Caenorhabditis elegans: one gene and its partners. The protein of the gene in region 2 interacts with the protein of the main gene of each other region in a biochemical or structural test. Each region holds a gene or a part of one and is shown on either strand. Other genes may lie near its edges. The genes, in order: rgs-1, goa-1, rgs-7 and ags-3.

Evidence for each region.
Region 1: of the proteins of goa-1 (region 2) and rgs-1, one has a biochemical effect on the other in vitro, tested with the Caenorhabditis elegans proteins (one study listed by BioGRID).
Region 3: of the proteins of goa-1 (region 2) and rgs-7, one has a biochemical effect on the other in vitro, tested with the Caenorhabditis elegans proteins (2 studies listed by BioGRID).
Region 4: the proteins of goa-1 (region 2) and ags-3 form a complex in vitro, tested with the Caenorhabditis elegans proteins (one study listed by BioGRID).

Annotation. Positions count from the first base shown.
Region 1 is NC_003281.10:10,014,072-10,018,281, forward strand, and holds rgs-1 (RGS domain-containing protein), read right to left. Parts: upstream 2,464-4,210; coding exon 1,962-2,463; intron 1,913-1,961; coding exon 1,815-1,912; intron 1,046-1,814; coding exon of another isoform or gene 1,040-1,045; exon of another isoform or gene 1,002-1,039; intron 952-1,001; exon of another isoform or gene 892-951; intron 666-891; coding exon 522-665; downstream 1-521. UniProt on the Caenorhabditis elegans protein: Inhibits G protein signaling in nervous system, interacting preferentially with the G(O) subfamily member goa-1. In vitro, protein acts as a GTPase activator of goa-1.
Region 2 is NC_003279.8:7,520,565-7,527,263, reverse strand, and holds goa-1 (Guanine nucleotide-binding protein G(o) subunit alpha), read right to left. Parts: upstream 5,149-6,699; 5' UTR 5,055-5,148; coding exon 4,894-5,054; intron 4,594-4,893; coding exon 4,452-4,593; intron 3,233-4,451; coding exon 3,072-3,232; intron 2,868-3,071; coding exon 2,739-2,867; intron 2,691-2,738; coding exon 2,561-2,690; intron 2,226-2,560; coding exon 2,072-2,225; intron 2,020-2,071; coding exon 1,946-2,019; intron 1,523-1,945; coding exon 1,409-1,522; 3' UTR 552-1,408; downstream 1-551. UniProt on the Caenorhabditis elegans protein: Guanine nucleotide-binding proteins (G proteins) are involved as modulators or transducers in various transmembrane signaling systems. In the 1-cell embryo, probably together with gpa-16, controls nuclear rotation and spindle elongation during mitosis.
Region 3 is NC_003284.9:3,540,750-3,545,579, reverse strand, and holds the start of rgs-7 (C2 domain-containing protein), read right to left. Parts: upstream 3,033-4,830; 5' UTR 2,950-3,032; coding exon 2,907-2,949; intron 2,829-2,906; coding exon 2,714-2,828; intron 175-2,713; exon of another isoform or gene 140-174; coding exon of another isoform or gene 93-139; intron 25-92; coding exon 1-24. UniProt on the Caenorhabditis elegans protein: Inhibits signal transduction by increasing the GTPase activity of G protein alpha subunit egl-30 (G-alpha(q)), thereby driving it into its inactive GDP-bound form.
Region 4 is NC_003284.9:5,300,559-5,305,204, reverse strand, and holds the start of ags-3 (Tetratricopeptide repeat protein 28), read left to right. Parts: upstream 1-1,604; 5' UTR 1,605-1,626; coding exon of another isoform or gene 1,627-1,698; 5' UTR 1,699-1,731; intron 1,732-2,533; coding exon of another isoform or gene 2,534-2,613; intron 2,614-3,414; exon of another isoform or gene 3,415-3,435; intron 3,436-3,442; coding exon of another isoform or gene 3,443-3,586; intron 3,587-3,644; coding exon of another isoform or gene 3,645-3,749; intron 3,750-3,986; coding exon of another isoform or gene 3,987-4,071; intron 4,072-4,646. Other genes in the region: ift-81 (Intraflagellar transport protein 81 homolog), read right to left, coding at 160-252, 1,081-1,230, 1,274-1,364, 1,627-1,698, 2,534-2,613, 3,443-3,586, 3,645-3,749, 3,987-4,071.

The DNA of each region.
Region 1 (4,210 bases), on a different chromosome or scaffold from region 2:
TTTTTCTAGAAATATATATGTACATATAGATACCGGTTTTTTAACATAAAAGTCGCATACACTATTGTCTCCAACCATTCTATAAATAATTTCAAATCTAGAAAAGTTGAAAATTGTTTTAAAAAAACCAGTTTATACAGCGACATATCCCTCGGAAATAAATCTACGAGAAAAAAGTTCAATATATTCGAGTGAAAGGAGAGAAGAGACAATGATGGGGGGAACAATTTAAACATAGGTTTGATCGGAAGAAATGTTGAGTGGCTGGAAGATAAAGTACAAATAACAGATGCCTTCTCTAGCCGACATCTAGATTTCAAGACAATTTCACAAAAGAATGGTCACGGGGGTGAAAGGGATGTGGTGGGTGTTGATTTGAACAGAGAATTAAAGAAGAAAAAATAGAATGTCTTGAAAGTAATATCACAAAGGTTCAGATGATGATTGAGAATATAGTAGGATAAGAGAAAAAGTCTCTGAAATTGCAAATCATAAAATGAATGACACTGATCAAAATAGATCTAAGATTGGCAAATGCAATAAGCAGCATCGGAGATCAAAGTTAGTTTATCACAAGTTGAATTGAATGAGTTGGAGGAAGAAGTTCTGGCGATTTGGATAAATTTTTGCATAAAATATTGAACTGCTATTACGGCGGTAGAAATCTGAAAATACTTTTTTAAAAGCCTATTTTCCCCCTAAAAACTGAAAATCTAACATTTCAATTTTTCAGTTGTCCGTTTGCTTTTTACTTTTACTTTTGTTTTTTTTGGAGAAACAAGTACTTTTGCATATTAGTTACACATATGAATTTGATTTAAAAAAAAAATTAAAGCTGCACTGATCTGAATATTTAAAAAATCGTTTACATATTTTCAATCAATTTGATACCTTTTTTATAACTACATGTTTCCAATCTGCTATTTTGCTGATAGAGATTCTTTGGAGTATCTGAAAAAAAAAACGAAATCATCAAAAATCTTCAGAAAAACCCTACTCACCGTTTAATGTATAATTGAGGGTAGATGCAGGAAGATTTTTATACCTGAAATCAGATGTAAGTCGCCGTGATTTAATAGATTGAAATTGATTTTATGATTGCTCCGCGGAGAAATTACATCCTTCGCTTGAGACAGAAGATTCTAACTACCGTACTCCTTTTGAAAATATAAAATGGAAATTATTACTTGAATTTTGTAGATCTCATTAGGTCTTGCCAAAATTTTAAAAAGTAATAACATCAAATTTTAAGCTAAAAAATATTACTAACTCTTTTCTTCCAAATTTCTAAAATATGTAGATGTACTCCACTTTTTTAAACAAAAGTTTTTAGAAAATTTGAAAAGTTTTCAATTGGATCTTTTCGTTTTTTTAGCTAATGTTAGTCTACAGTATCAGTTTTTTTCAAAATGAAAACCCTATAATTAAAATTGTGTATATAATTTCGCTGGATTTTAATTCGCCAGTGTCCAAAATGACTGAATATAAAAACTGATAAACCATTCCAAACACTTTTAGATTTTTTAAATATTTCCATAGAAGTTTTGGTGAATTGCCAAAGAATTTCAAAAATGTGTCAGTTTTTCAAGTAATTTAGAGCACTGCTGCAGCTTCGACTTAACTGCAAATAATTGTAACAAAATTAATATACGTATCAAATTCGTAGGAAATAACTTTTTTCGGTCGAATTCTAAAATTATGACAACAGACCGTGTTTTCACAACTTTTGGCTGTAAATTGAAAAAAAAATTTTTGAAAAGTTTTATTATGGTTTTTGGGCATTTTAGCAGTTTTAAACAATTTTATAAACTCACCATACTAATATCCTTTGAACTTCCTTCTGCAGCTGTAGCTGGAACATTCAAACGTGCACGTTCCGCTCTTTGCTCTCGTTCCTTCTCTTCGTCTCCTCCTGAAATTATTCTTTAATTTTAATTTTTTTAACAATTAAAAAACGTTACCAATATCCATTTCAGTTATTCCAAAAGAAGCTAGAGTTTCCCTGTAGAAAATGGAGGTAAGGAATCTTGGATAACTGTCTCTTGCCATCAGCTGATAGATTTGATGTTGAGCATCTTCGAATGTATTCTGTGTTGGACGGGACATGTTAGTGTTGACAATTTCTCGAACTTTTGAATCCAGTGAAACTTCTTTTGGTGATAATATTGAGATGAAATCTTCATAGATGATACGTGCTTTTTCTTCCATTTTTTCAGAATTCTTTTCCCGTTTCAGCTCTTCACAGGCTTGCCAAAATAAGATGTTCTCATCCGAATACTCACTTTTTAAAAATTCGGCAAAACATTTCTGGCCAGACTTGAAGCTCATCAGTGTGTCGAATGATTGTTGCCATGAATATACCATTTCGTAGCTGAGAGCTTCTGGTTGGACGGATCTTTGTGGGGAGACAGTTCCACTGTATTTTCGTCCGAGATTTGAGCACCAGCAACCCATATATCCCATGGGCTGGCGGCAACACGTCGCAGCCGGAAACAAGGAACAATTCGGTTTTTTTAAAGAAGAAAGGGGTGAAAGTATAAGGGAAAAGTGAAACGAAATGAAATAGGGGGGATGAGAGGAAGATGAATAAAATTAAAAAAAAAAAGAAATGGAAGAAGCAAGAGCAACGATGAGATGAAGAGGCGAATCGATTCGAAATAGGGAGAGGAAGAAATATATAAGACGTCGACGTCTACGACGACGTCGCGACGTGACGATGTGGAATACGGTGAGAGATGGAAGAGAAAACGTGAGAGAGAGAGAGAGAGATGAATATGTGTGTGAGTGGAGGGGACTCGTGAGGAGAGTGTGAGTGCGCACGAGGAGCAACAACGTAAAAGCACACACACAGACATAGAAGAGAACAAAAGGAAGAAAAAAGAAGAGAAGGACGGCTTCAAACAAATGACAATGAAGAGGGGAAAGGCGTCTTAAGGTTTCAAGGTTTTGTAATTAGACGTCGATAATGAGAACCAATTGGGAAATATTTCTAGAAAATTGAGAGCATAGCTATGCCACGAAAGACAGTTGAAAATGATTCTGAGCATATTTTCTTGCAAATTGAATTCCAGTTCTTACAATTTTTAGTTTAAAGGTTCTGCTAAAGTGCTCAAGTTTTGCAATAGCATAGTAAAACTTTTTTAAATTCAAAATTTAAAATTTGGATTTAAGGATCTAATGCAATTTTCACCTACATATTATACTTTTTAAAATTGTCAAAAAAAATTACGCGTTTTATGTTCATATTTAAACGTTCAAGTGGTCTCAAAATCATTCAAAAGTGAATTTTTGGTAAGTTTAGCAAGTTGCCAAAATTTTGAAAAACCTAACATTTTTGGATTGCTTTACACGGTCGTTTTGGGCTATTGTAGGTGTATTGAGACTTGATTCCAAAAAGTTCACACTTTTTGAGAAAGTATTTCTATAAGTATTTCTAATGTATAACTGAACTGAAATCTTCTATGTACGTTTTTAATGTACTTTTTGCATGAATTTTTGGTGAACCAGTGCGCAAAGTTACATTATGCTTTATAATTAAAAAGCAAATTTTGTATTTTACTTCTCTCTCCCAGAAAAAGCCTCCGAAAAAAAAAACGAATTTTGAAATCAAACTGGATGAAACTTCAAAGGTTTCCTCTTGATTAAAAAAAAACATTTTCCAAATACTGAAAAACAAAGTGAACTATTTTTTGATATTTTTTTTAAAAGCAGATCGGTTTTTGAAAAATGCCAAAATATCTGGCAATCGATCATTTTGGTACTTGCCGGATATTTTTTTTCCAATTGCCGCCCAGGCTTTTAGTCTGTATAGGCCCCTATTTTCCAGATTTTAGCAGAAGTTTGTAAACTGGAAGCTTCTATGAATATAAGCTTGAACAAATCTTACATTATGAATGAGAAATATTTCTAATAACAGTTTAAACATATGGGCGAAGTTGGATTTTGCAGTGTACTGAGAAGTGTTATTGTATTTTTACAGGAAATTGAAATATATTTGGCTCTGATTCTCAACATAACTTTTTTTTCACTTTCTAGCATTCTAATCTAATTCACAACTCTATGAAAAAAACAAAATATGACTTCATAACAAACGTTGAAAATTCATGAAATCGAATGTTCAAATTCGATTAAGTCTCTCTCTCTCTTGGTGGCTCGACAAAATCGGGCGAGTAATTCGATATACGTCATGACATAGTTTTGAAAACTCTTG
Region 2 (6,699 bases):
AGGAAAGTGTATGAGATATTCTCTTTTTTTTGGCAAATGAACAGAAAAAGTGAAAGTTTATCACATAGTGGGAGGAGGAGGGAAAAGCTGATGGAAAATGAACACAATTGTGTGACAAAAAGGACACATTTTTAGATGATTGTTGTAAAATTTAATGAAACTTGACATTTGGAAGGTTTTTCGCTTTAGTAACACTCACTTCCGGGTCATTTATCTTGAGAAAATCATTATCTGAAGACTATTTTTGGGGTTTCCCACTTTTGATGTTATAACAATAGGTTTTGATTTTTTTAAATCTTGGTAATGATGGGGAAATTGTTTTAAACCATGCTAATAATTCAAAATAACAATTAAATTTTAAATTCGCGCGCGAGGTTTAAACTTCTTGGTGGTTATTCAAAAAGGAGTTCAGGGAAATTTAAATTTTATCGAGTTTTAAAAATATTGGTTTTTTATCTAGACATATGTACGGTAGTCCCATATGCAATTTCCCATGCAAACTAAATCACTGTACTTTTGTATCCACCAAACTGAATTTGTACGAAAACTAGTTGAGGATGTCGTTTATATCAAATAAGATATCAATGAGTGGGTGCAGTCGACAATAAACCAATGCGGAAAATATCGTCTACTGCACACCATCGTGCTCACCGACAAAAAGCGAGACGATTTTAAAGAAAAAAGATGGAAAAATGAAAAAGTAAAAGAAAAAATAGGGAGAGGAAAACAGCGAGAAAAATGAGTTTGGAAGTGTGGTTTTAGGAAAAGGAGGGAAAATGGATGAGAGGGGAAGAGTAGAAATAGAAAAATACCAAAAATTAAAAATAAAATCTTTAAACATAGACAAAAGCTGCCATTATTTAACTGTTAACAGTGACTAGGTGTGTTGAAAAATGGGAGAAAAGAAAGAAAAAAGGGGCAAAGCTTTATAATTCGGGGTGAAGAGACCTTTAGGGGGTGTGTGGCGGAACGGGACGAATTCCAACTGAATTTAGATTTTTAAAGTTTTCTTGTTTTCAAATAGCGATAAGGCTACACGGGAGTGAGAAGGGCGGGGGATGTGGCGTGAATAATGACAATATATAATAAATAAGAAAAAAGGAAAAAATAAATAATTGTGAGTTTTATGTGTTATTTTTGTGACAGAAAAATTAGGGATCCTAGTTGAGAAAAAGAAGGGCGGTGAGACTATTATGAATGAATCAGAGGTTAAAAAAAAGCCCATATACATCTGAAATTGCAACTTTTTCCAAAAAATAAAAACAGTTGCAACCATAATGTACATGTAAAGCTCTCAAATTATAGATGCATACTCGGGGGATGAGAAAAATAACGAATCTTTAAAAATTTGGGAAAAGTAAGCAAAGATACACACAGAATGGTAGAAGAGGGCGGCGAAGACGACAGCTTAATACAAGCCGCATCCACGAAGATTATTGGCAATAATCACATCGGTGACAGCGTCAAACACAAATTGAATGTTAGTTGTGTCTGTGGCACATGTCATGTGGCAATAGATTTCCTGCAAATAAGAATATTATTTCAAAAGAAAACAAATTAAATGAAATAATGAATTAAAATTATTACCTCAACACTCAACTTTAACTACCTATTCAAATATGAAACTACAGTAACCGCAATATCGGAGAAAATGTCGAGATAGTAAAAATCTCAAATTTTGGTTGTAATTACTTAATTGAATACGATTCAGAGATTTTTCTGGTTATCATTTTCTGTGACAGATTAACAAAACAATTGAATATTCGTGTTTACTTAAAAAAAATTAAATTTTATAAATGTTTCACACTTCAAAAAATTTCCAAAATTAACTAGATATTAAAAATTATAAAAAATATTATTCTAGAAAAACAATTTATACTTTTCGTGGAACAGGAACCCCATAGGCTTCTCTGATTTCATTGATTTTTAGACTTTTTTTTCTTACCTTATTCGCTGATTTGTTTTTAGCCTCAAATTGTGCTTGAATATACGCAGATGCCTCGTGGTAGTCTTGTCGTCCTACAGGGATTAAGAAATTAAAACATTTATTGGAAATTCAATTAAATTTTACCTGAATATTCTGGGAAGCAGATCGTTAACGGGCTTTTCTTGATTTTCTCTTCAAACAGATCCTTCTTGTTCAGGAACAGAATAATCGATGTATCTGTGAACCATTTGTTATTACAGATCGAATCGAACAGCTTCAGCGATTCGTGCATTCGGTTCTGAAAATATGAAATAAGGAACAATAATGAATAATAATGAATAATGAATAATAGAATGAATAATAGAATATAATTTAAAAAAACGAGTAATTTTTAAATTATCATGTTTCTTTTATTTTGGCAAATATATTGTCGGTCAGAAGTTGCATTTTCGTTAGAAAAATTAGAAGAAGAACATTATTTTTATTATTGTAAAAGTCGACTCGAACGACCAAGTCATGATTGGAAAATCGTTTAAAAAACATAAAGTCTCTAAACGATATTTTCTAATTTTAAATTTTGTCTGTCTTTTTCAACAAAAAAGCTTCTAAAATATTAAAATATCAATTTCTCACTGTTGTCTCATCTTCGTGCAACACTTGATCATACTCTGACATGGCAACACAGAAAATAATAGCAGTAACATCTTCGAAACAATGAATCCACTTCTTCCTTTCTGATCTTTGACCTCCCACATCGAACAATCTGTAAATATTCATTATTAAATATTATTTTTTTATCAAGAAAACTCACTTGAAATTGAGATTTTTGAATGTGAAGTGAACTTCAACAATACCAGTTGTTTTGACACGAGTTCGGAGAATATCTTGCTCAGTTGGTTGATATATTGCCTCTCCTAACCTTTCCAGGTCGTCAAGGAAACTGAAAAAATGGTTATTAATAAATTCTATAAACTGCGAAATTTCTTGAAATTTTAAATTTGGTAATATTGAAAATGAGCTTGACATGTAACATATTGATTCGAAATTTAGGAAACTCTTCTCAATTTATGAAAAAAACCACTTTGGTTGTTATGGAGATAATAGTTACTTGAAATAATTTTTCAAAATTTTGAATTAAACTTACTATTTGGCTGAATCATTCAATTGATACTCGTTACTCCTTGAGAAACAATCCTGTACACCTGCGTCTCCCCACAACCGTTTCATTGAACTGAGCAATTCTTCTGAGAATGGCTCTGTGTCCTCCATTCGTGCCACCACATCCATCACTAATTTTGCATCTACCTGAAACAAAAAACTTTGATTTTAGTTCTCGATAACTTTATTCGCTGATGAAAATTGAATAATTCACAGCATGTCATGTACATCATTTTCCCAATTTTCTCACAAAATTGAAATTGGATCCTTGGCTCTCTTCCAATGGTTTGTCCAAAGGTCTCAAAATGGTCATTTTATTTCAATTATCTCAAATTACTTTATATTCGGTGACATGCATAGTCACGTCTTGTTAAGATTAAGGATATATATAAAATTGAATGATAAATGTTCGATCTTCACATCAAAAACTTTTTTACGTTTTCGACACGACAAATTTTTGTTGAATGCTAAAATATGTTTATATTTATTCTTACGATTTGTTAAAGTTAATTCGTAAATATTTGATTGTTATTTATTAATTTTTAAAATAAATGAATACGTTTTTATTGAATAACTATGAAAAATCGATTAAAAATTTGGCTGCAACGAAAATTAAACATTACAGTACTCTTTAAAGGCGCACACCTTCTTGCATTGAACACAAATTCATCGTATAAAAACCGGGAATTGCATTTGTGACGCAATAACAAAACATTTGACGTCTGAATGATGTAAAATCTTCTCCAAAACGTTGGGAACATTTTTTTCTGATGATTTGCCACATCAATCGAAAATGTGTTCCCAAAGATTTTCCAACATTCTAGAATCCCTTCCAAATCCCAATTCAAAATTCCTGCCTCGAACATATATTTTTGGAATACTAGGTCGAGTCTACGAGTTTGTCGGTGGCGCGTCGCGCATCGAAACTCACAAGGGAATTGGAATGGGACGGTGGTGTGGTAGCGGGATGCATTGAGTGCAACGAGAGGCAATAAGAGTTGCAGAATGTAAGAGAGAGAGAGAGAAAAAGATACCGAGCCAATGAATACAACAGATTATGTCATTTATTCTCATGCTCTTCGTTTTTCGTATCTTTTTATTCGTTATTTTCCAAATATTTCGAATTACTCTTCAGAACACGGGAAACATTTTTAATTGAATAATGTTTATGTTCTATCTATAGATCACAATCGCAAGTAAATTTCAGAAAAATAAGTTTTATTTTGAAGTAACGTTTTTGTCGTGCTAATCATTAGCAGCTAATGGACCGAAATTAATTTTTTCCATTAAGGGATCACTTGAAAATTTCGTGCCTCATTTTTAAATAATTTCGATTTTTTTGCAGAAAAATTGTCATAATACTCACCTCTCTGTCAGCCGAACCAAATGAAACGCCTAAGTTGCTCATGGCTCGCAAAATAGCGACCAATGATTGAACCGTGTTACTGTAGACAACCGGCTTGTACTGTTTGTAGTCTTCTGCTGTGAATCCCGATTCGTGAATAATTCTGAAAAAAAAACATTAAAATGTGAAAATTTGTAAAGGCGTGTTTCAAATTTAAACTATTAGAGAGTTGAACTTACTTTTCAAATTTTGAATACGAAAAAAAAATTAATAGCAGTCTCTAGTGATTTATTTACTTTTTAATTAAATTTAATTTTTAATAATTCAAATCGATCAAACGAAATATTCGGACGTTCTATGGGACAATTTCGGATGATAAATTCTGAGTTTTTCACCATTTATTTCTACCATTTTCGTTTATATATGTTTTAATTTGTTATTTAGAAATTTAAAAAAATCTCACTTCATCTGTTTTACAATAGTCGATTTTCCTGATTCTCCTGCACCAAGTAGCAGCAGTTTGATATCTTTTGCCGCTTGCATGCCGTCTTCTTTAAGATTTTTCTCAATCATTCGTGATCTTTCAAGAGCGGCACGCTCTTCCTGTGACATGGTACAACCCATGGCGCTAGAGTTGATGAACGGTGGACCCTATGCCCCGGTAGCGGTCTCCACTTGATATCCTCTACTCACTCACTGTATGTGGTGCAGCTCAGCGCTGAAAATAAATTGAAAAAATTAGAATCGAAGTAAGTTATAGCGGGTTAAAAAATAAGGAAAAGAAAAAGCAATCGAGCGAAAAAAAGGGACACAGTGAGATGGAGAATGAAGAAATGGATGGATGAGGGATCGAGGGCAGAATATAGATGAGATGAGAGGAGATGACAAAAATGACGAATGAGGAAAATAGAGGGTGCACGTCGTCAAGGCGACTAATTTTTATTGAATTTTCTTACTTTTTCATTAATTTATTTTAGTGGTAGAAATATGCAACCTACAATACTCTAAACAGGGCCTTTCTAATTTTTGCGCAAACATTTTTTCAAATCAGACGTTCTCTCAGATTTCTTTGGAGCAGCGTCAGTGGGGAAATTGTTAAAACGTTTGCATGTTCGAATCCCTGCAATGTTTGAGTACTAAATTCGAAGGTGAAATTTTTCTTGATCTACGACAGAAAAATGTACTAACTGTTAAACTTGCAGATGAACTAAATTAGTTATATTTCAAGAATGATCAGAGATTGTTCATTCAGTTTTCTATTTTAGAATCAATTGGTTTAATCTGAAATCGAAATGAAAATCAGCTAATCGAGGATAAACATGTTTTGCAAAATCAACCAAAAAGAAATTTTACTACATGCTTCCGGCCGGGTCAACGTTCTCCACAAAAAGGTTAGAAAATAGATAATTTGTAAAGAACAGAAGCAAAAAAATAGACGACAACGTCTTCGATTTTTCCGTTTTCACTGCTTCTGCTTCTTCTCTTTCTTCGTTGTCGTCGTCGTCCTTCTTTTTCTTTTTTTTTTGCGTGGCGCAAAAAAATGGGGGAGCAACTGCGACGACGACGGCGAGCAGGATGGTGGGGTTGGAGAAGGAAAATAGAGAGAAAAGCGAGGGCGAGGAGAAGAAGAAGGTCATGGGCATAGCAGAAAAGGGGTAGTAGTAGCCAGGGGCAGCCAGTAGCCGAAACAGGAGAGCCCCATCGTTCAGGGGGCAGCGACAGTGAAGACGAGGGTCGGCGGCTACTTGCGTTGCGTGTCGATTCGAATTTTAAATCATGATGAGGATCAGAACCATGCAGATATTCTAGTAGTCGGAGTTATCTGATCACAGGCGGCGTTTGAGTTAAAATCTTAAAATATTGCATAAAAACTTAAATTGTCTGACAGCCTTAATAGCGACTTTATGATGCCGAAAACTACTATTTAAAATTTAAGTTTCAATCGACGAACAGCGCCGTAGACTAGGTCTCCGTGAACCAAAAGCTATAGGAACATAAAGCCTTTTTCCATGTGCCTAATTGTTTTATTTTCATAATAAATGCATAGACAGCACTGGCAGCGATACACAAGGAGACATGTTGAGTGCCGTACACCGGAGACCACAGCTGGACCCTCTTACAGATTTTCCAGTCGAAGAACGGAGACGAGGGGACACGAATAATAAACAATGAGTGAAAGTATGAAAGGGAAAATCAAGAAAAGATAAAAATAGTGGATTACGCAGAAATAAAACCTTAACTTGAAATATTTTACTATTAGTTTGGAATT
Region 3 (4,830 bases), on a different chromosome or scaffold from region 2:
ATTCCGCAGACTGGAGCACGTCTTCTGCAAGAAATATAAATTGATAGAGAAATTTGTGTAGTAGGTTTAAAAAATTTGAATTGTAAACTCACATCAGAGCTTCGAGACCTTTGGTTTTGGTTCTTACAGTATACGTCATAATAAACAGGATTAGTTACTGAAGGAAAAACGGTTGTAAGATTGATAGAAATACAAACGAGAACTGTTCCCAAAGGCAAAACTCTGGGATGGCTCTAAAGGGGCGGAGTTAGGAGCATGACAGAGACGAGAGGAGAGAGTATCAATGCACATTCTCAGCACATTGCAAATGACACGTGTTCGCTAAGTACAGAAAAGATGAGCTAATTAGGGAGTGAAAACAATTTTGTTTGGACAGTATCCTGCTGACAACCGTCAATTTCAGTAGGGGGATTATAGCTGGAAGGTAGAGCGTGTGACGAGATGGGGTGAAAAGACAGGAAAGTGCAATTGGACACTAATGGGTGGATAATGTTTAATAGGCTATTTTCCAATTAAGGTTTGTGAGTGTGTGTGGTTTCAAAAATAAACTTTGAGAGAATTTGAGACGACTTTTTGCGTAACTGAGATAGTTGCTCTCTTCACTCGGCATATTATAATAGATTTGATTTGAGAAGAAATAGCATGAAATACATTTTCCAGTGCAAAATCTTCAATAGGGAATTTTGAAAATTACTTATATAGTATGAAAAATATCAAACACCAAGGTAAATTTAAAAAAAAATTATGTGGCAATTACAAATTTGTCAACTTCTCCTAGCAAATACAAATGTTCTCTGAGCGTTTTTGTGAAATATTTGTATTATATTCCAATAGTTTAAGGTTTCGCACATGCAGAATTGCTCAAAAGGCCTTAATATTTCAAAAAAGTTGGCCAACTGCAAAACGTTTCCCTAAAAAATTTGATATTTTTATGAACGTTTTAGAGTATTTATGATGTTTGGTTATAAAACTATTCACAACATTTTAAAGTTACATATATATGCCGGATTATCAAAATTCTGAATTATTGTTACGTAGTTTTTCACTTTAAGCACTACAAAACACTGTTTTGCTTATCAACCTGGAAGTCTCTAGGCAGCGTCGAGTCTAGGCGTCATCTGGTGATGATGATGTACAAATTATTATAACACACATCAATGCAGAGCATCAAATGTGATACGCAACAAGTTTTTGCGCAAGTTTTAGTGCCCCTGACGTTCCAGCAGCCACGGGGGTAGAGGGCTATTCGTGGCGTTGCGCAACTGAAAATCAAACCACGGTAACTCGACATCCAACGTAATTTGCAATTATGCGAACATACTCAAAACTATACATATTACTGGGGAAATGTCGGATGGGCAAAGTAAAAATTTTGTAAGAGAAATTTTAGAAACATTTAATTATTAGTATAAAAATTCAAAACTCATAGTATCAGAAAATGACAGAGATATCGGTGACCAATTAGAATGTTAAGAACAGAAACTAAAACAGAAACCTCTAAATCATAAAACGTCTACAGAAAATACAGGATATTTTGGTTTTCTTCGATTGGTCACATTAACGGAACGGTTGTCGTAAATCTTGTGGAAATTATAGAGGGACTCGTTTAATAATCACCTATGCTATTGTAGCCTTTAACAATCGATCGATTGCCGGAAATCCAAAACTTGTGCGTTCATGACATTGTATACACGCCAAACAAGAAAAACTTTGAGAGAAGTTCAATTGATTCACTTGAAAAGGCGCGGATATTTTTAAGCAAACATTTGACGACGAAAATGGGCATTTAAGTGGATGAATCAGGTCAGTGATACCGACTCAAATACTACTACGCGTTTCTGTCATTTCAAATGTGAAAATAAATGTTCTTATTGGGCGCAAAAATTTAATTTTTTTTTGCATATTTGAAGAAAAGTGTCTAAGGGTACTTTCTACATTCTTCACAAAATCAATGTTGTTAATTTTTGCTTCTTTTGATCATTCGAACCAGATTTGATATAATTGAGAATGTTCGGATTGTCAAATCACTATTGTCCTTTCTTTCTTCCTTTCTAACTCTAGTATTTTACGGTCAGCGTAACAGAGCAGCCGACTGGGATGGGGCAATGCGTTCGTTCGTACACCAGAGGCTAACCAGTATGTAGTGTGCATGGTCAACACATACATGCCTCGTTTGTTTGAACCGAGGTGTACAATAGAGCGCATTTAATTGAACTGTCTCCCATTAGGAAAAAATCAGCAATTGGACTAATCAAACTTGTACTAATGCAACTTTTAAAATTGATGAATTAAATAAAAATTTCAGAGGATGAAAATTTGAAAAGAATCTTCTATGGTCTATTAGTTTTGGTAGTTTTCGATTTCGAGGAATTTTAGATTTAAAAGGGAAATTAAAAAATTACTCAAAAAATACACTTTCTGAGAACGACCAAATATGAACTGGGATCCGGGCAAAGCAACAGTATACTGAACTATGAAGCAAAAACCTATCAAGCGAAAAATAAATAAAATAGTTCTGAAAAGTGACAGAAACCAATTGTGCGGAAATTTGTGAAACGTATTCGAAATTCGTTTGAGAAAATTTTTAGGATAGCAAACTTGTCACGTTTTTTGAAACTTTTCTCTCGTGATTTTAAAATACGTTTTATAATTTTCAGCACATTTTTTCAAAAGTATCTAATATCAACTTTTGAAAACATTTAAAAGAACTCACCTTCCCCACAGCATCTCGTCAGTTGTAGCTTCCGAAGGTCCAGTGGATTCAGTCGTGTCCTGATAGCTTTCCGACTCGGAGCCTGAGAAGTCGTCGTCGTCCGACACTGACGATACTGGAAAAAATCAGATATATAGTCATAATAACAATAGCAAACATCTGGAGCATTCAGGTTTGCAACAAAGCAACTTACTCGATGATTGATCGTCATACTCGTCTGCATCCTCGTCTGACATCTTGTCAATGCTGTACTGCTGGACTCCGGCCGTTTTATATTTGTGTAGATTGAGCTTGATTCTTCGATTTTGACTTTCCATCTGAGTGAAACTATACTAATTGGAACAGCAATAGAAGGAGAATTGAGAGAGAAAAATGATTCATAAACGGCAACGAAGGAGAAAACGTTGTGTCATTTTAGGCTAGGGTTATACGGCTCAGCATAGAAACTAATCCATCTTATGTTATTGATTGACTGAAACACTATTTTATGTATGAGGAAATTTTACTTGTTCCGAAAAAGAATAAAAACAAACAATTTATTCTAAAACACTAAGAACTATAATACTTCAATTTTGTAGATTTCAAATGAAGTTAGCTATAAAAAACTTAATAGAAAAGTACCGTCTTTAAAAAAAGTTGAGTTAAATTTATCAAAATGTATGGCCTTTAACAGAAAAAAGAATTAATTACGAGAAAGTGCAAAATATGGATAACCAAATTAATTTTAAATAAATTTACCAGCCGTTGGAAAAGAGAAAACTTCGAAAAGCCCCAAGATTTTAGTCAGGAAATCATAGCTTTTTTTGAAATTCAGAACAATAAATTGTTTTCTAGTTTTAAAAAATATTATAAAATCGAATGTACTCTTTTAATGAAACAAAAAATATCCGGAACAAAAAACCATTTCCGAAAGAAATCCATGTAGTAAGGCAGAACTAAATAGCAAATGACCCGCAAGTTTATGAGATCAAATACAAGTGAAGGTGAAGGAAAGGAAGTTACAAGGAGTAGTTGACAAAATTTATGGTGCGAACAACCGCTACTCCGTTTGTCGGTGTCGATAGGTGGTTGCGTAATATTTAGGTTACAAATCGAAACCATAAAATCTTTACTGACAACATCTAGAGTTTACATTCTTAGAGACAGAAAAAATAGAAAAAAAAAGACTGAACTTATAACATTCGACTCACTGCCAGATGGTTTCAATGAAAAATATGGCCGAAAGTTTTAGATTTTTTGGTGATTTAGTGGTTGGGAAAAACGCAGAACTTTGCAGACGGAATATAAGTAATTTTGTATGATAATCTAATTGTCTAGGCTTACTGATAAGGAACCATTATGTTTTTTACTTGTAGATAATATGTGATTAATACTGTGCCAGATAACGTTCTACAGAACTACTTGTTTAGCGCATTCCCTAACCTAGACACCCAGTGAAACGTGACTAATAAGTTTTCAACTCTCGATTACTAGTTTTTCTGGCCTTGATCAGATGACGGAAATCCAATTATGGAAAATCAATAGTCCGTAAATAAACACACCTTAATGATAAGTAAATTTTACTAGTGACTCACTTGCAGATGAGGTCAATTTTATAACGAACAAAATTACATACGAAAAAACTAGTTTGAAACCTTGAAAAGCTAAGAAATTAGATAAAATAGCTTTTCAAATTTGAATGATGAGCGTTCCCGCCGGTGAACAATTCAAACGTGAGTAGAGAGAAGAGACACAGAACGGCGAGTGTTCGTCTGTGTCTTCCTTCTTTCCTGGCTGTCTCCTCTGACCGGCAATTGAGGAGAGGGGACCCATTTAGCGTTTGTATGTGTGTATGTGCGTCTTTCCCCCCTCAACACCTGCCATCGTGACCCACGATCGCGGACGCGATATTTATGGCCTTGGCAAATAGCTTGGAGACTTTCCTTTACTGTTGATTCAACTTTATTGATACTTCTTCAATTGTCTGACACCATCAGTCAAATTTAAGACAAATGAAAGACTGTTCAGGCAACTAAGCTACGATGAGCATTATTGAAAAAAAAAACAAATTGAAAATCAAGAAAGGGGATGTGGCCTAGTGACATGATATGGATAATTGTCAACAGAGCAACAGATGA
Region 4 (4,646 bases), on a different chromosome or scaffold from region 2:
AACTTTTGCATGTTCTCTTATTCTCCAAACTCACTTTGAAAACTTTGATGTCTCAGTCAATTACATAAAAAATAAAAATAGTACCTTAGAGACATTTTTGGATTAAAGTTGAACCAAGAGTTTAGTCAGTTTCTTCAAAAAAAAACCCCCCTATCTTACCTCTGCATTATTTGTTTGCGGAGCTGCAGTTTTCGGACGATCGTATTTCGTTGGAACATTCAAAACTTCTACTATTTCTCCGCCAATACTTTCCTGGAAATAAGATTAGATAGACACATAAACCACAGAAATCTTGCAAAATCGGGAACGCAGGATAAAAATAATTTGGATTAGTAAACTTTGAAATATGATATTAAACTGTTACATGTTTTGTCTGTTGAAATAGGAGAGGTGTGTCAATTTCGTGTAGCAAAGTAGTTTAGAAAAAGGTGTGAGTAAATACATATGACACACGTTTTTTCTGCTTTGATCCTACCACTTGATCTTGCTGGAAGTAGTTTGCAAAAAAGTGAATTACTGTTTATTCTCTCTGCAACAATGGTGAAAAAAATGATTCGCGGAGCTTGGTCGAATTTGTTCTCTGATTCCAGGAGGTATAGGAAAGTAATTAAAATTATAAGTTCAAATTTTATGCAGTTAACGTATTTAATAAATTAAAAATGGTGATTATTTCTATCAGTATCGTTAAGCGTTTGTAAATATGTTACCATACGCAGCACTGTAGAAAATCATCACAGTTTCGGCAATTCTAATTTTTGACAATCAGCATTTTTAATCAAAAAATGCTTGGCAATCGACAATTGGGTAATATCAAACAGCGATTGCCGTAACTACAAATACATTTGAATGAAATTTTGCTATTATAATTCAGTGAGAGATTACATAAACTGCCATATGTTAGCAGAGGTATCTGATACATTTAAAAGTTTGATGTTGATAATGCACAAATAGTTTTTTTTTCATTATTAAACAGCTATCTGGAAAAAGATCACTAAAAACTTCAAGAATTCCAAAATATATTTTTGCCGTTTCGCGTTTTTTTTTCTATTCAACATTCAACTCAACAATCACGCAACTCACAATGTGCGTTTCCAATTTATTGTATCTTTTGGAAACAATGTCAATTGTTCTTTTAAGCACTGCCACCTCGGTATGCATCAACTCAATTTCCTTCCTTTTCTTTTTTTGTTCTTCACTTTTCACACGGTATTGCTCTAAATATTTTCGGTACTGAAAAAATAGTATTATACTGTTACAAATTATTTCGCCTCACCTGAACATTTGACACAACTTCCCCGCCCACTTTGTCTTTGAGATTGGTTTTACGCTCATCGACATCTTTCTCAATTTTCGCAAGTTCTTGCCTGAAAGTCACGTCCATTTGGTCGCAAATACGGTAGCTTCTAATTTCCTCAACTCTTGCAGTTTTTTGCAAACTTTCTAAGAATAAAGTGGTTTCGCTAATCTTTTTTTTGAGGAAATTGAGAAATGGGGTCAATCAAATGTTGAAATCCCATCACTTTTCTCGCTTTTTCCCATTTTCAATTTCCTACTCCCAGTGGAATAAATAGGACGTTTTGGAAAAAAAAAGCCGAAAAGAGAAGAAGCCCATCTACACTCACTTACCTCAATTCTTGCAATTTCTGCACCGCTGTTTCTTTTTTGCGTTCGAGAAGGGAAGTTTGATGACGAAACACACTGAAAACACCTCATATGTTTTTTTGAAAAAAGGTCAGTTTTGGGAAAATATAAAAAAAGATATTCTAATGTTTTACGTATAGGAAAAATACGATAAACGCAATTTCACAAGTTTTAAGTTCATCACCTGGTTTTGCTTGAAATGCTCTAGAAATGCCGAGTTAAAAAAAAACAAGTGACAAAAAACTAGGAAGTTAAATACCTTGGATCTATATTGAGCGTATTAAAGAGGGATTACCGTCAGTGGGTATTTGTTTAAACATTACCCAAATAAATTTAAAATTACCAAATATCATAGTGGAAGTATTCTAAAAAGGACAATTTTCCGAGCAGTCAAAAAATGGTAAAAACTCCGTCCTAATAATGAAAGTCAACAAAAATTTGTTCCACAGTTTTCAAATTTTAGTTATAATTCAGAAAATTTTTAAAAATCTTTTTTTTAGTTTTGAGAGTATTATGCTCATATTCGGTCATGTTAATTATGTGTCTTAAGACGAAATCCGCAATAAAGATACACTACTTTCATTATTTTTAATAATGATAAAAAAATTTAAAGTTTTTTGTCGAAGCATCCCTTACAAATTCATTTTCTTTTCTAAATAAATATCTAACACTCATAGAAGAATACGCAGATTGTGTCTCTTAGCAGCAACCATCATCATCCACATGTTTTTAAACCGAGTGATGCCACTGTCCGCTTTTAGATTTGCCTTTCCTTGTTCATTAGCAACCAGACCAGATTTCATATTTTTTGCACAAAGAACACAACAACAAATTTGAAATTTTCAGCAAGCACAATTTTAAAACATCTAGACCAAAATGAGCATGCACTTACCTCATGTTCTCATCAATATCCACTTCTTTGTGATCCCGTTCGTCTTCTAGTTTTCGAATTCGTTTTGACATTTCCTCTATCTGAATGATGAATTTAAAAATAACTCTTTCATGCTTTGATCAGCCATGTTTAAGATGACTTGGGAGTAAACAATTAACATATTTTTGGTCAGACGAAAATTGGAAAATTTTTTCGTCTCTCTGACGTCTGAAGCCATTGTTTCGCTCTTTGGCTCTGTTATTTGTTTTTGCCCACGTTTGAAAAAAGCTTTTGAATAGCTTTTAACTCTTAAAACATACAACTTTTTTCTGTAATTACATCATTTAATTTTGTAATCACCTTGGAAATAAGTGAAAAGTGCAGCCACGTTTAAGCTGGGCGACAATTTTATTTTGGATGTTTTTTTTTGTTAAATTTGGTATACATTTTCAAAAATAGCAAAATCATTCTAGCAGTTTTTTAACATCAATGTAGTTTTTATTCCCGCTAATTTTTGTTTACAAAAAATTTGAATTTCCTATCAAAATTTTTTTCAGAAAAACTTTATTGCCAAGTTTGTTTTCCTAGAAAATTTGAAAATCCCACAGAAAAAAATTCCCGAGAAAATTTTAATTTCCGCGAAAAAATTTTTCGGAATACTTAAATTTTTCGCCAAATTTTTTTCCCAGAAAATTTGAAGTTCCCGCTAAAACTTTTAATTTTCGCTAACAACTTGCTTTCGAAATTTTGTATTTCGGGCAACGTATCTGTGTAGTAGCCGTGCTCCAATAGCATTAATTCCTTTTTTAATGGTAATTTAATTAAAACGTGAGGTCAGTGTTGCATATATACTGTCGGCTGCACATTTATCATAAAATTCCCCAAAGTTAAATCTGCAGAGATCTTTAAGCCTGGTATCTTTAAGCTTACCTCAGAATTCATTCTACTGACATCCTCTTCCCGCACTGAATTGGACCTTGCCATGGCTGTCAGCTCTTTCAACTTGTTTTCCTTTGATTCAATTTCTTGAAACAACTTGCCATTCACTAAGTAAGTGTTCGTCGCAACTTCGTCCTAAGAAACCCTCTGTCGTCATTAGATAGGAGAAGACGAGAAAAATAAGTCTAGTAACCTCTAATTTTTCCATTAACGCCTGTTCATCCAATGTGTCAGCGACCGCTTGAGCCTCCGTCAAATTGATTTTCATTCGGTTGATTCTGGCTTCGATGTTCAGGACCTAAACAGAAAAGAATTTCTGATTTTTGATGCTCGCTGCGCCAAAAAAACGCAGTAAGAAGGAAGAAGCCGCACACTCGAGAACAAAAAAATTGCACTCGCTATTTCTGTACTTCTTCTTTCATTTTTTGTCAGGAGAGCAAAAAAAAATTACGTCGGAGATAAAGAAAAAGGAAAATATTTCACTCGGTCTATTTTTGATTTTGAGATAAAAAAATGGAATTCCCAAAGAACCAACCTTCTGCCGTTCTTGTTGTTTTTCAATTGCAAAATCTGCATATCGGGTTTTCTCTCCGCGTAATTGTAATGCAAGTTGCATTTGTCTGAAAACGATTGGCTATTTTGAAAAATGCCAAAATTTATGTTTTATTTTTATACTAAATTCATTTTATTTTATTTTTTATTTTTATAATTTACGCTAAAGAACTCCCTTACTTACGTTTATATGAAAAACGGACAATTTTCCGCAAATTTCTATCTGCACTTGCATAGCGCTCGTTATTTAGCAAAAAGCTTGTAAATTTATTGTTTTCTACTTAATTATGATTGAAGCAGACTTTATCGTACTTGTAGTAAAAATATGAGCCTTATATTCAATTTTTTTGACAATGAGTCAAACCAGAGCTTAAAAGCAATACCGATACAGGCCAAAAGCTTTGCTCAAAAATTGCTTTAAAAATATATTAGCAATGTAAATGTGTTAGAAACTAACAAGAATGATCGGAAATATCCATCTTATCAGCTTATAAAGTTTACAGCTCTAAAGTTTCAAGTGAGCTGTTTTTTTACCTTCAATGTTTTGAAATATGTAAAATCAGGCAAAATACAAATTTCAAAAAAAAATCAAAAAAAATAAAGAAAAAAATCTGAGCTCATTTGCCGGGCTTTTTCAGTTTTT